Linked DNA regions of Neurospora crassa OR74A. The protein of the gene in region 1 binds, or shares a complex with, the protein of each later gene. Links are inferred from orthologs where the notes say so. Each region holds a gene or a part of one and is shown on either strand. Other genes may lie near its edges. The genes, in order: NCU09261, NCU09561 and NCU02631.

What was found.
Region 2: NCU09261 (region 1) and NCU09561 share a complex: the UniProt entries of both Schizosaccharomyces pombe proteins name them as parts of the GINS complex. The link is inferred for Neurospora crassa OR74A from reciprocal best matches to the Schizosaccharomyces pombe genes sld5 and psf3.
Region 3: NCU09261 (region 1) and NCU02631 share a complex: the UniProt entries of both Schizosaccharomyces pombe proteins name them as parts of the GINS complex. The link is inferred for Neurospora crassa OR74A from reciprocal best matches to the Schizosaccharomyces pombe genes sld5 and psf1.

What each region holds. Positions count from the first base shown.
Region 1 is NC_026501.1:9,371,055-9,373,819, forward strand, and holds NCU09261 (DNA replication complex GINS protein SLD5), read right to left. Parts: upstream 1,357-2,765; coding exon 1,051-1,356; intron 981-1,050; coding exon 621-980; downstream 1-620. Other genes in the region: NCU09262 (hypothetical protein), read right to left, coding at 1-164; NCU09260 (hypothetical protein), read right to left, coding at 1,904-2,765. UniProt on the Schizosaccharomyces pombe protein: The GINS complex plays an essential role in the initiation of DNA replication. Has a role in chromosome segregation and is required for bir1 localization.
Region 2 is NC_026507.1:996,216-999,815, forward strand, and holds the start of NCU09561 (DNA replication complex GINS protein psf-3), read right to left. Parts: upstream 2,425-3,600; 5' UTR 2,291-2,424; coding exon 2,249-2,290; intron 2,174-2,248; coding exon 1,559-2,173; 3' UTR 989-1,558; coding exon of another isoform or gene 237-988; 3' UTR 168-236; coding exon of another isoform or gene 50-167; 3' UTR 1-49. Other genes in the region: NCU09562 (hypothetical protein), read left to right, coding at 50-167, 237-988; NCU09560 (superoxide dismutase), read left to right, coding at 2,651-2,706, 2,783-2,928, 3,050-3,600. UniProt on the Schizosaccharomyces pombe protein: The GINS complex plays an essential role in the initiation of DNA replication.
Region 3 is NC_026501.1:2,993,508-2,996,819, reverse strand, and holds NCU02631 (DNA replication complex GINS protein psf-1), read right to left. Parts: upstream 2,566-3,312; 5' UTR 2,385-2,565; coding exon 2,352-2,384; intron 2,297-2,351; coding exon 1,773-2,296; intron 1,704-1,772; coding exon 1,610-1,703; 3' UTR 736-1,609; downstream 1-735. UniProt on the Schizosaccharomyces pombe protein: The GINS complex plays an essential role in the initiation of DNA replication.

The DNA.
Region 1 (2,765 bases):
GTGATGGCGGACTCGACCGAGGAGGGACGGCGGCCGCAGAGAATGATGTGGTAATTTTGGTCGGGGGAGGTGCTGAGGTGTTTGGCGGTTTCGAAGCCGATGCCACGCGTGGCGCCGGTGATGAGCACAATGGTTTTGGAATCGGCGGCAGCGGCGGTGGTCATGATGCGTGGTTATCGGGTGTACCCGCTGTAGCAAAATGTTGGATTGTGGATGGGGAGGTGAGCAGGTCGTTGTTATCGGTGTGTCCTCGGGTGCTGCTGTTTCGTCGTCGTCTTTGATGCTGTTCGTCTGATCATCGTGAGGTTTCATACCGCCCGCACGTCATTGCGACGTAGCCGTGGGCGTGAACCTTTTCAAAGCTGGCAAACCCGGTCCCAATATTCGTCCCGCAAACACCGACGAGATGGCTGTATAGCAATCGCCCGAGTTTAACGGGGTCGAGCACTGGAATTCCGCCATAACTCCCGTCGTCGATCGGTCGATTTGGTGGTGTTGAGTGACGTCCTGGAGATGAAGCTTCCGCCAACGTCCAAGTTCCCTGATCGTCTCATACCGACGAGCAGAAGCCCATCAGCCCTCATTGTTTGTAGACAGGTTATCCAACCATGGCGGCAGCCTCAAACCAATTCAGCATCCCCCTTTTCCACCAATCCCTTTGCATCTGACCACCTCAGAATGACAATATCCCCCTCTTTGCCCGTGAGCACACCATCGACATCGACTCCATGACATTCAATCTCGGCATCCCTCAACAAGCGAATGAACACGGCCGAGTCGAGGTCAGGACTGTCAATCATGCTGATATTGCCCGCCGTGTCGTTCAAGTTTTGCATCGCGGGCGGGAACGTGCCCAGGAAGGAGTTGAGGTAGTGGTTGTGCAACAAAAGCTGGTGTCTTCGCGCGTACGCCTCTTCGATTTGCGACATGCGTGTTCGGAGGTTATCGTTGGAGATGTAGTGGAGGAGGTGTTTGTCGATCTACCCAATTCTCAAGTGTCAGCATTCTCCTCAGTGACCCAGCAAGTAAAGAGCTCCAGAGGGGGCATACCTTTGCAATCCTCGTCCTCAAAAACGACCTGACCAAGTACTTGAACCTCTCCAACTCGGTCTGGATGACAATCAGGGCGAAATTGGTCTTGGGATCCATGTCGCCCGTCATCTCCTCCACTTTTTCTATCTGCCGCTTGATCTTGTCGTTGATGCGCTCGAACAGCCCGTTGGAGGGCCAGGGAAGCAGTTCAGGTGTCGAGCGCTCGGCGACCCAGGCGCGCGTCAGGTCTTGCAGGTCGCGCGTTTCCTGCGGGATCTGGTGCGAGACGGGGTCGACTTCGCGGAGGATGTCGTCAATGTCCATTGTGGCTTATGGATTGGAGGTGAATTGCGGTGAATTGGGTTGTGAGGCGGGCACAATGGGTGGTTGAAGAGGAGGGGGGACAAGGGAGGGAGGAGGAGGAGAACACAGAGAGTTGTCGCATTTTTCGTGACGGGGATTTCCATCTCTGGTGTGGAAATTCCCTTCAGGCCTCGAACGCGGGGCAGATCCCACCCCGGATTTTTAGGGGCTCGGCGGGCTGTTACGGCGATCATCCAGTGGAGGGCGGTCCATCCCGCTTTTAGTGACGTCCATGTCCGCTGCGTCCCCTAACCTTACAGCAATACAGGGGTCTTGTTGGGGGTGCCCCTGAGTTCATGTAAACAGCAACACGGCGGGCATGAGAACGACATCGTATCGTGGCATGAGGCTTAGGTTTGGACTTGATCATTATTACGTCCTGTGATATCATTGAGTTATCAAACTATAGCAGTCTTTCATGTTACAAGTGACGCCTTTCCTTTTCCCCCATCCAGCTCCTATCAAATTACGCCAATAACCGATACCATCAGAGTGTGTAAGTGCCAAGTCATTCTGTTGACAAAGACTGAGAATTTTCAGGACCCCAGTCGGAATCTGAGGCTCTTGGGGAGTGCATGAACTTGTACATGTGAGCCTCGTTGGGAGCTGGATCGCCTGGTGACATTTCATCAGCGCTACTTGATGTTGGTGTAAGCACCGTTGTGCCGTCGGATGACGAGTCGTCGCTTGTATCGACCCCCAACGCCAAGTCCGAGTCCAATGTTGACGTCTCGACATCATCCATGTTTCTTTGAAGGGTTCCCTCAGTAGTTGGTACTGTGTTCTGGTACAAGGGTCCTGTATTCTCAGTCATTTGCCTGCTTTTCCTCCTAGCGGCAATGGACTGTCCTTCAAGTTTGCTGAGGTTGGGAAGAGGCTTGGAATGAGACATTGAGATCGTGTCCAAACCTATCATAACCTCTGTACCATTAGACTGTCTTTCCTTGGTTTCTTCTGCCGTCGGAATATCGGTCGGGTTGTCGTTGACTTTGTCTCTTTCTCGATCTGCCTCTTTTCTCTCACCACAGCGCTTCCCCTCGTCCTTGACTGATTCGTCTTTGACAATCTCCCTTTCATCATCTGTCCCACTCTCTCTCGATATCACGTCATCCTCTTTCTCCGTATCTTCCTCATGTAGACATACTCCGTCCCTGACCGCGACCTTTTCGTCCAATTTGGCCATAAAATCCACCAAGTACCCTTGCGGTCCTGCTTTTTCATCCGTTGTTTTGATATCGTCCATATTTATTGGTTTCTTGATCCTTACCCGTCTTGTCGTCCCCGTCGGTAGTCCTGTGCCTTTTCCACTAGCCATCCGCTCACAGTCTCCTAACCGCCGCCTCAAGAACCATTCAACCGAGTGACGGCCA
Region 2 (3,600 bases), on another chromosome or scaffold:
CGCTTGCTAGACTCACCTGTTTCTGCGAGTACAAGCCCAATCAGGAGCCATGCGTCATCCGCTCTCTCTCCGCTTCTTCGCCAACTTCACTATTACCATTCTCCTTGCCTGCAACATAGTCTCTGCCTTTCATGTTGAAGATCTCCTTTACACCTTGCGATCGCTGAGTAAGTCTCGAGTACCAAGCTCAAGATACCGGAAGCTCTAAGCACTGACGACCCCCTCCCTCATCACAGAAGATGCGCCATCCGGTAGCGCGGTTCTCAAAGCCCGCAGCTCGAACTTCACCGCTCCTGCTTCCGCTCCGGCTTCCAATGGCACTGTTGGCTCCTCCCATCCTGACTCGACGGACAAAAAGGAAGGGGGGCTTGGCCTAGGTGGTCTGTTGCATAACCTCTTCGGCCGCCATGATACGTCCACCGCCATTACTCTCAATATCCGGGCCTCAAATAGCACCGTAACCCCTGCTGGTGTTTCCAACGGCACTATCCTTGGCGGTGCCTCCCATCCAGACGCGGCAACCAAAGGAGACCACGGATCCCTTGGACTTGGCGATCTCCTTCACAAGATCTTCAATCACCACAACACGCCCACCATCCCTGGTCCTCTCGCTGGCCGCAGCTCGAATAGTACTGTCCTTCCCGCTGCCGCATCCAACGGCACTGTGCCCACCGGCTCTTCCCACCCGGATGCAGCAACAGAAAAGGGACAGGGGCTCGGACTGGGTAGTCTTTTGAGCAAGATCTTTGGCCGTTCTGAACCTGTGCCTGTGTCTGTCGAGCCTGAAGATGTTGACGAGGTTGACGGCGAGGTTGGTATGCTTATGAGTCTCAACCGCCGTGCCAAAAAGGACGGGGAGAATAGGCTGAGCCGTGAGGAGAGGAGGAAAAATCGGGAGAAGAGGCGTGTGAGAAGGGCCATGTCTGCTGCAACTGAGTCTAAGAAGGAGGAGAGGCATGTTGATCGCTCCAGAGTGTCCCGCGGGTGAGGGTGGTGGCTAGTCGTCGGCCAAGCCAATTTGAGCTTCGGCTATCTTGTTAAATATTCCATAGACCGTGATGGACGAAATAGTGGTATACCCAAATGAAGGATCCGATGTCGCTCGCTAGTCACCCACCAATTGACGAAGTCCGAGTTAACAGAGAGTGCCGAACCTCATGTCCTCTTAATATCTCATGAGTCTTCCTCATTATTAGGCCAGATGGTCTGCTGTGCCGCTGACAGCACAACTCTGTGAAGATCAGCGATGCGTAGGATACTCATCCGGCGATAGCAGTCCAAGTCCGCCATACTTCCAGGGGAGGGTGACACAACTAAACCCCCAAGAATCCTGTCTCCTTCGTGGTATCCCGATGCTCTCGAGCCGTGATAATGACTGATCCACAGCTTCGTCATGGTAAATGAACTTGGGAGGTCGCCGGTGGCCTGTTGTTATATACTGCATCGAGCGCAGTCCGAGAATCATGGAGGATGCTTGAACCGAAGCGCTGGTTCGTTGCGAGGTAAAGACCGATCGGGCGCCAGCGGTAGCAACAACGCTCCAACAGTACCACTCCACTCACCTCTTCTTGACATTCTCCATCCACTCCTTGCTCGCCTTCGTCCCATCATGTGCACTCCTAAACAGCTTCCTCTCCCACTCATCCAACCCTCTCAAAAAGTCCTCACCAGCGCCTCCCACGCCCAAATTGCTGGCATTATCGTCCTTCGTCGCCTTCCCCTTGCCCTTTCCTCCGGCTCCTCCGCCATCTCGACCATGATACGAACTTCCGCCCCCACCCACCTTCCTAGCATGCAACGCAATCTCCGCCGCCCTCGAGACAAACGTTTTCCTTAACACTGCGCTCAGCTCCGGCTCCTCTGACAACTCCATCATGTGCGTGGCGAGGGCGTAGAAGTGGGCGCTCTGATCGCGCAGCGGCACGGAGCGCGGGTCGGCTTTCAAAGCTTGGACAACGTCGTTACCCAGTGCCGGGGGCAGGTCGAAGGTGATGAAGGATTTGCTGGACTGTGATGGGTCGTCCATGTCGACGGCGCCCGTATTAGCGATGGCGAGCATTTCAGCCAGCCAGATGGGGAGAGCGACGCGCGAGCCGGACTTAAGGGTGTGCCCCGGTTGGTTGTCGAGATAGCCAAGGTCGGGGACGTCGATTTGAAAGGTACAAGGAATTTTCTGGGGAGGATCGTCGGGTTAGTTGGTGTTTTGGCGTTGGGTGATGATATGGTGGGGGAGGGAGATGGAGGGTACCTCTGCGTCAGTCAGGATCGCATCGATATCGTAATATGACATGGTGGTGATTTTGGTAGCTTCAATTGGACCAGCCTGGCGTTTGGAGATGAGTTGGACAGTGTTGAGTTGGACAACTGACCCAAACCAAGTTTTCGCCAGGATTTCGAGATCAATCAAGGTTCTGGGGAGACGCGCTCTGGAAGTGGGAGACGCGACAGAGGAAGAGCGCCGCCATGCCAAGAGACCGCAATTAACACTGTGGCTTACTCACCACTCAGAGACGGCTCCTTGTTCCACTTTCAGCCACACGAGCCATAGAGGTACCCACCTCTTCCCCTCGGCGGGGTGGGGCTATGACGGAATTAGTTGGAACGGTTTCCATGGAGCTTCCATCATCATCCGAGCTTATTAGATAAGTAAATGGAAAGAGACATTTCCGATAGTCGCAATCAGTCGGCCAATTCACTTACTCTGAGGTAGCCGCCGTCCCATTGATCATCTAATTTTCCTCTTCTCGCACTTCAAGACCTAACCACTTCACCTAATTACTAGTCTTTCTCTCGATAAACAAGCCGTCACAATGTCCGCATCCCTCTTCCGCGCTACTCCGGTCGCCCGCAGCGCTCTGCGCGCCGCCAGCGCCGTTAAGCCCGCCGCTACCTTTGTCCGCGGCAAGGCCACTCTTCCCGACCTTCAGTGTAAGTTCTTTCCTCCAACATTCGCTCGCTTTGCAATGCCCGCTCCTCATTTCAGTCTATCCTCCCTCCGCTTCGGCTTTGAGGAAAAACCCCCCAAGCTAACTCACTCTCCTTTCCCTAGACGACTACGGCGCTCTTGAGCCCTACATCTCCTCCAAGATCATGGAGCTCCACCACTCCAAGCACCATCAGACCTACGTCAACGGCCTCAATTCGGCCCTGACCACCATTGCCGAGGCCGAGTCCAAGGGTGACTTCACCAAGGCCGCCTCGGTCGCCCCTCTCCTCAACTTCCACGGCGGCGGCCACCTCAACCACACCTTGTTCTGGGAGAACCTGGCCCCCGCCTCGCGCGAGGGTGGCGGTTCACCCGATGGTGCTCTCGGCAAGGCCATCACGACCGAGTTTGGTTCTTTCGAGAGCTTCGTCAAGCAGATGAATGCTGCGCTGGCCGGCATCCAGGGCTCGGGTTGGGCGTGGTTGGCCAAGGATAAGGCTGCGAACGGCAAGCTCGCGCTGATTACCCGTGCCAACCAGGACCCTGTTACTGGTAACTATGTGCCCCTGTTGGGCATTGACGCGTGGGAGCATGCGTACTACTTGCAGTATGAGAACAGGAAGGCAGAGTACTTTGAGGCGATCTGGAACGTGATTAACTGGAAGACTGTTGCC
Region 3 (3,312 bases), about 6.4 Mb from region 1:
ATGATGCGGAAGCGAGTAAAGAAGCACGTCAGTGCAGAAAAGCAAAGTCCTGTGGCTGGAGAGCGGAAGGACAAGAAGGAAGGTAAGAAAAAGAATTCAAGATATGTAGAAAAAAAGCAGCACCTGATGTAACCATGTAGATGTCCGCGAAGAAAAGAAAACGTGACAAATATCCTCAGATAATTTGGGGGAAAAGAGGAATGATGAAAAAGAAAAATAACGACAGGCCGAGCTATCGTAGAAGGTCCGTCCTCGGCTGGAGGCGATTCGAGGAGTACAGGCCGGTGGTGAGAAGCAAAATTCTATGGAGCAATCTTGTCGACAGCAACATACAAGAAGCACCGACCGCGCCATGCTGCATCCGGCCGGAACTCTTTGGCCCCGCCTGCAAAGACTTCGTCGGGCGGGATATCTGATGACTAGTATGTACATAAGCTTCGACGGTTCGGGGTTTCCATGTTGTCCCGTCGTGCGTCGTAGCGTCTATCGTACCTAGCGCCGGAGGAAGACTGAACAAGAACTGATATGGTCTCAATTGATCAGTTGAAAGCCAATGATACTACCTAGCAGTTGCTGGATGGCCTGGACCTGTTGTTTTAGCTGGCCATGGTGGGGTTGAGGCCGTGGAAGGGAAAGGCGTCATCTGCATGATGTAATCCTTGTTCCACCAAGCAGCCTTCCCAGTGCGAATTGGTTTCTCTTTTTTGAAATTGAACACTGCACCCCAGTAACTATCATTCAGCTCCACGTGTGACAGACTGACAGCGAGCACACGGCAATAACGGTCAAAAGTTTACATAACCCTATGACTGTTCTTATCGCCTTCTTCAGATGGGCCCTATTAGCTGTAGTTTGACAAATCAAGGACTAGTCAGTACCTCTTCTCTTTACTCGGGTTGATTCTCAGTATCTGCCATCAACGAAACAATATACTGAAAAAAGGATGTTATCAGCCGCCACAAACACAGTGTTGCCATGCCAGAAAACTTGGCCACTGGTTGGTGAAAAAATTTGAAGGGCCTTGTGAAACCCCTTGCTGGCTGTCACTCCAGCCTCGACGTTCGGCCGTCGTCCACCGCGGCAATTCCGTGTGGGTTCCTGAATCAATGGTCTGGCCGTCAAAGTAACCTTTCCCTCATCCTTCCCGCAACTTACAAACTGTGCTACCGTCTGGTTGTGGGCTCATGGTCCCTTGTCGATGCAAGCACTTCTCAAACCTTCATCAATGGTCCAGCCATTGAGAAAAAGTAGATGGTAACTCCTTGCCCCACAGAGACTCAAAATATTTGGTTGAAGTCACCTTTGGCCGTCGTCGTAGTACAAGGACTGGTCAGCTCTGTGTGTGCGGCGCAACCCTTTTGAGTCGGTCCTTTGCGCTCCCTCCAACATCTAGCTGCTGATCAATGACCATTGCATATGGCTTCTGGTCGAAGCCATTGAGTCCGTCACTCCCTCTCCGGTACTGTTCGGAAGGCGCCACGCCGTCAATGGTCAGGAAAGAGCGAGGGGTCTGTCAACCTGTCGGCAACCGCTGCCGATAGCAGTTTTCCATTGCTGGTCTGCAGCAACAAGCTCCGGTCTCAAATCATCGATGCCAGGTCGATATTGTTCAACCCAGCTTTTGCAAATATCCCTGCACAATCAGACGCTCCACATCTCCTTGCCGGACATAGAATTGACTGTTCTTTGTCAGGTTGATCGCCCTTTAGACATGCGTTAGTTAGCGTGGAACCAAAGCCATCATCTATTCCTCCATCTGTAGCGTAGCTTACCCATATTCGGTTTGGATCTCGCCCGCATCCTTCAACACTCGGACGTCGATAAAAAGGTCTCGTGGGGGTTCGAGACTGCCTGTGAGATCGATATCCGTCCATTGGCCTTTGTAGAGGGCCAACAAATCTCCAAACTGTCGAAAATAATCCTCTTCCTGGGGACTAAGACTGCTGGTGGTCCCGCCCCCTTCATTGCCCTCCGTCACGCCCTTGGGCCCTCCTGTCGTCTGGCCGGCAAGGTCGAGGATATCGGCTCCATTCCACACCAGCTCCTCGAGCTTGTCTGTTCGGATTCGGTGATAGGCGAGCAGACAGCGCTTGTTCCTTCGCATTGAAAGGTGGTTGACCAGCAGCGTGCACGCGGTGGCCTGTTCGGCGGAAGGATCAAATGACCCCTGGAAAGGTTCAAGTAAACTGGCGACGTCTTTGTCAAGATCCCGGATTTCTCGGGCCACTGCACGGACAAGCTCGGTCTGATAAGGTGGAAGATGGCTCAAGTTCTGTGTCCTCTTGGCATGCTGGACCTGGTGATGGTGTGAGTGTTCGTATCCAGGGAGGATGCAGTGAGCTTGCACAAACCAGTTTGTTACCCAAGTCACCGTACATGGGCATGTTTTCGACGTGGCTTAAGTGCCTCTTTGGACAGTTCGAAGCTGAAAGGTGTGATAGTGGAATTGACTATGTGTCTATTTTCTGACGCGTCTCACGTCGCGTCGTTTTCTCGAACAGCCAGGCGGGTGAAGTTCGAGGTTCCGTCTGGATGTGAAACCGTTCTATGGCCACTAGCATATCAAGCGTTGTTAGGCAGATAGGCGCTACAAGATGGTCTAAGCACTGCACTTGAACGCGGGGTGGGCATCAAAAGTCCTCGGACAGCCCTAACCCGAAGCAGAATACGCAGTAGAGGTACGTGTATCCGAACATTTTCTTCGTCCCATTCCCTCTCAACCAGCTGCATACGGCGTGTCCCAAGGCATACGTGCAGTCAGGGCATTCACTAACGTCGGCGACAAGAATAGGGATATTCATAAAGCAAGACGTACAGAGGTAGTTGAAGGGTGATGCTTCTTCTCATGGGCAAAGGCCGCAGTACAGGCCACCGTACCTTTGAAACGAACGTCTCATTTCCTGAAGCCGATACCAGTTCAGAGATACATGTGAAGAATCGGAGTGCCTTCGCACATGGTGCACACATTCTACATGCCCCTACGTCCAAAAGTTACTAGCATTAAGCCCTTGAACAGTTAAGAAATATTCAATAAACTATTGCTAAGCAAACACGATATAATCTATCAACTGTTGAAACCAGCAACCTTCTCGGACCACCTTGATACTCCCACCCGCCCATAACGCACCGGACAATCGGTAATGGTGACGAGGAAAGACTACACTAGGCTCCGTAGGGTTGCCAAATTCCAACTTCAGATGGGCTGCTCCATTGGACAAGCACTCGGCATGCGCAAAGATACAACAACTACGATTCATGAGTTAGCTCAAGAGCTGCGAAAAAGAAGCAATATTCCAAGTTGAATGAGATGCC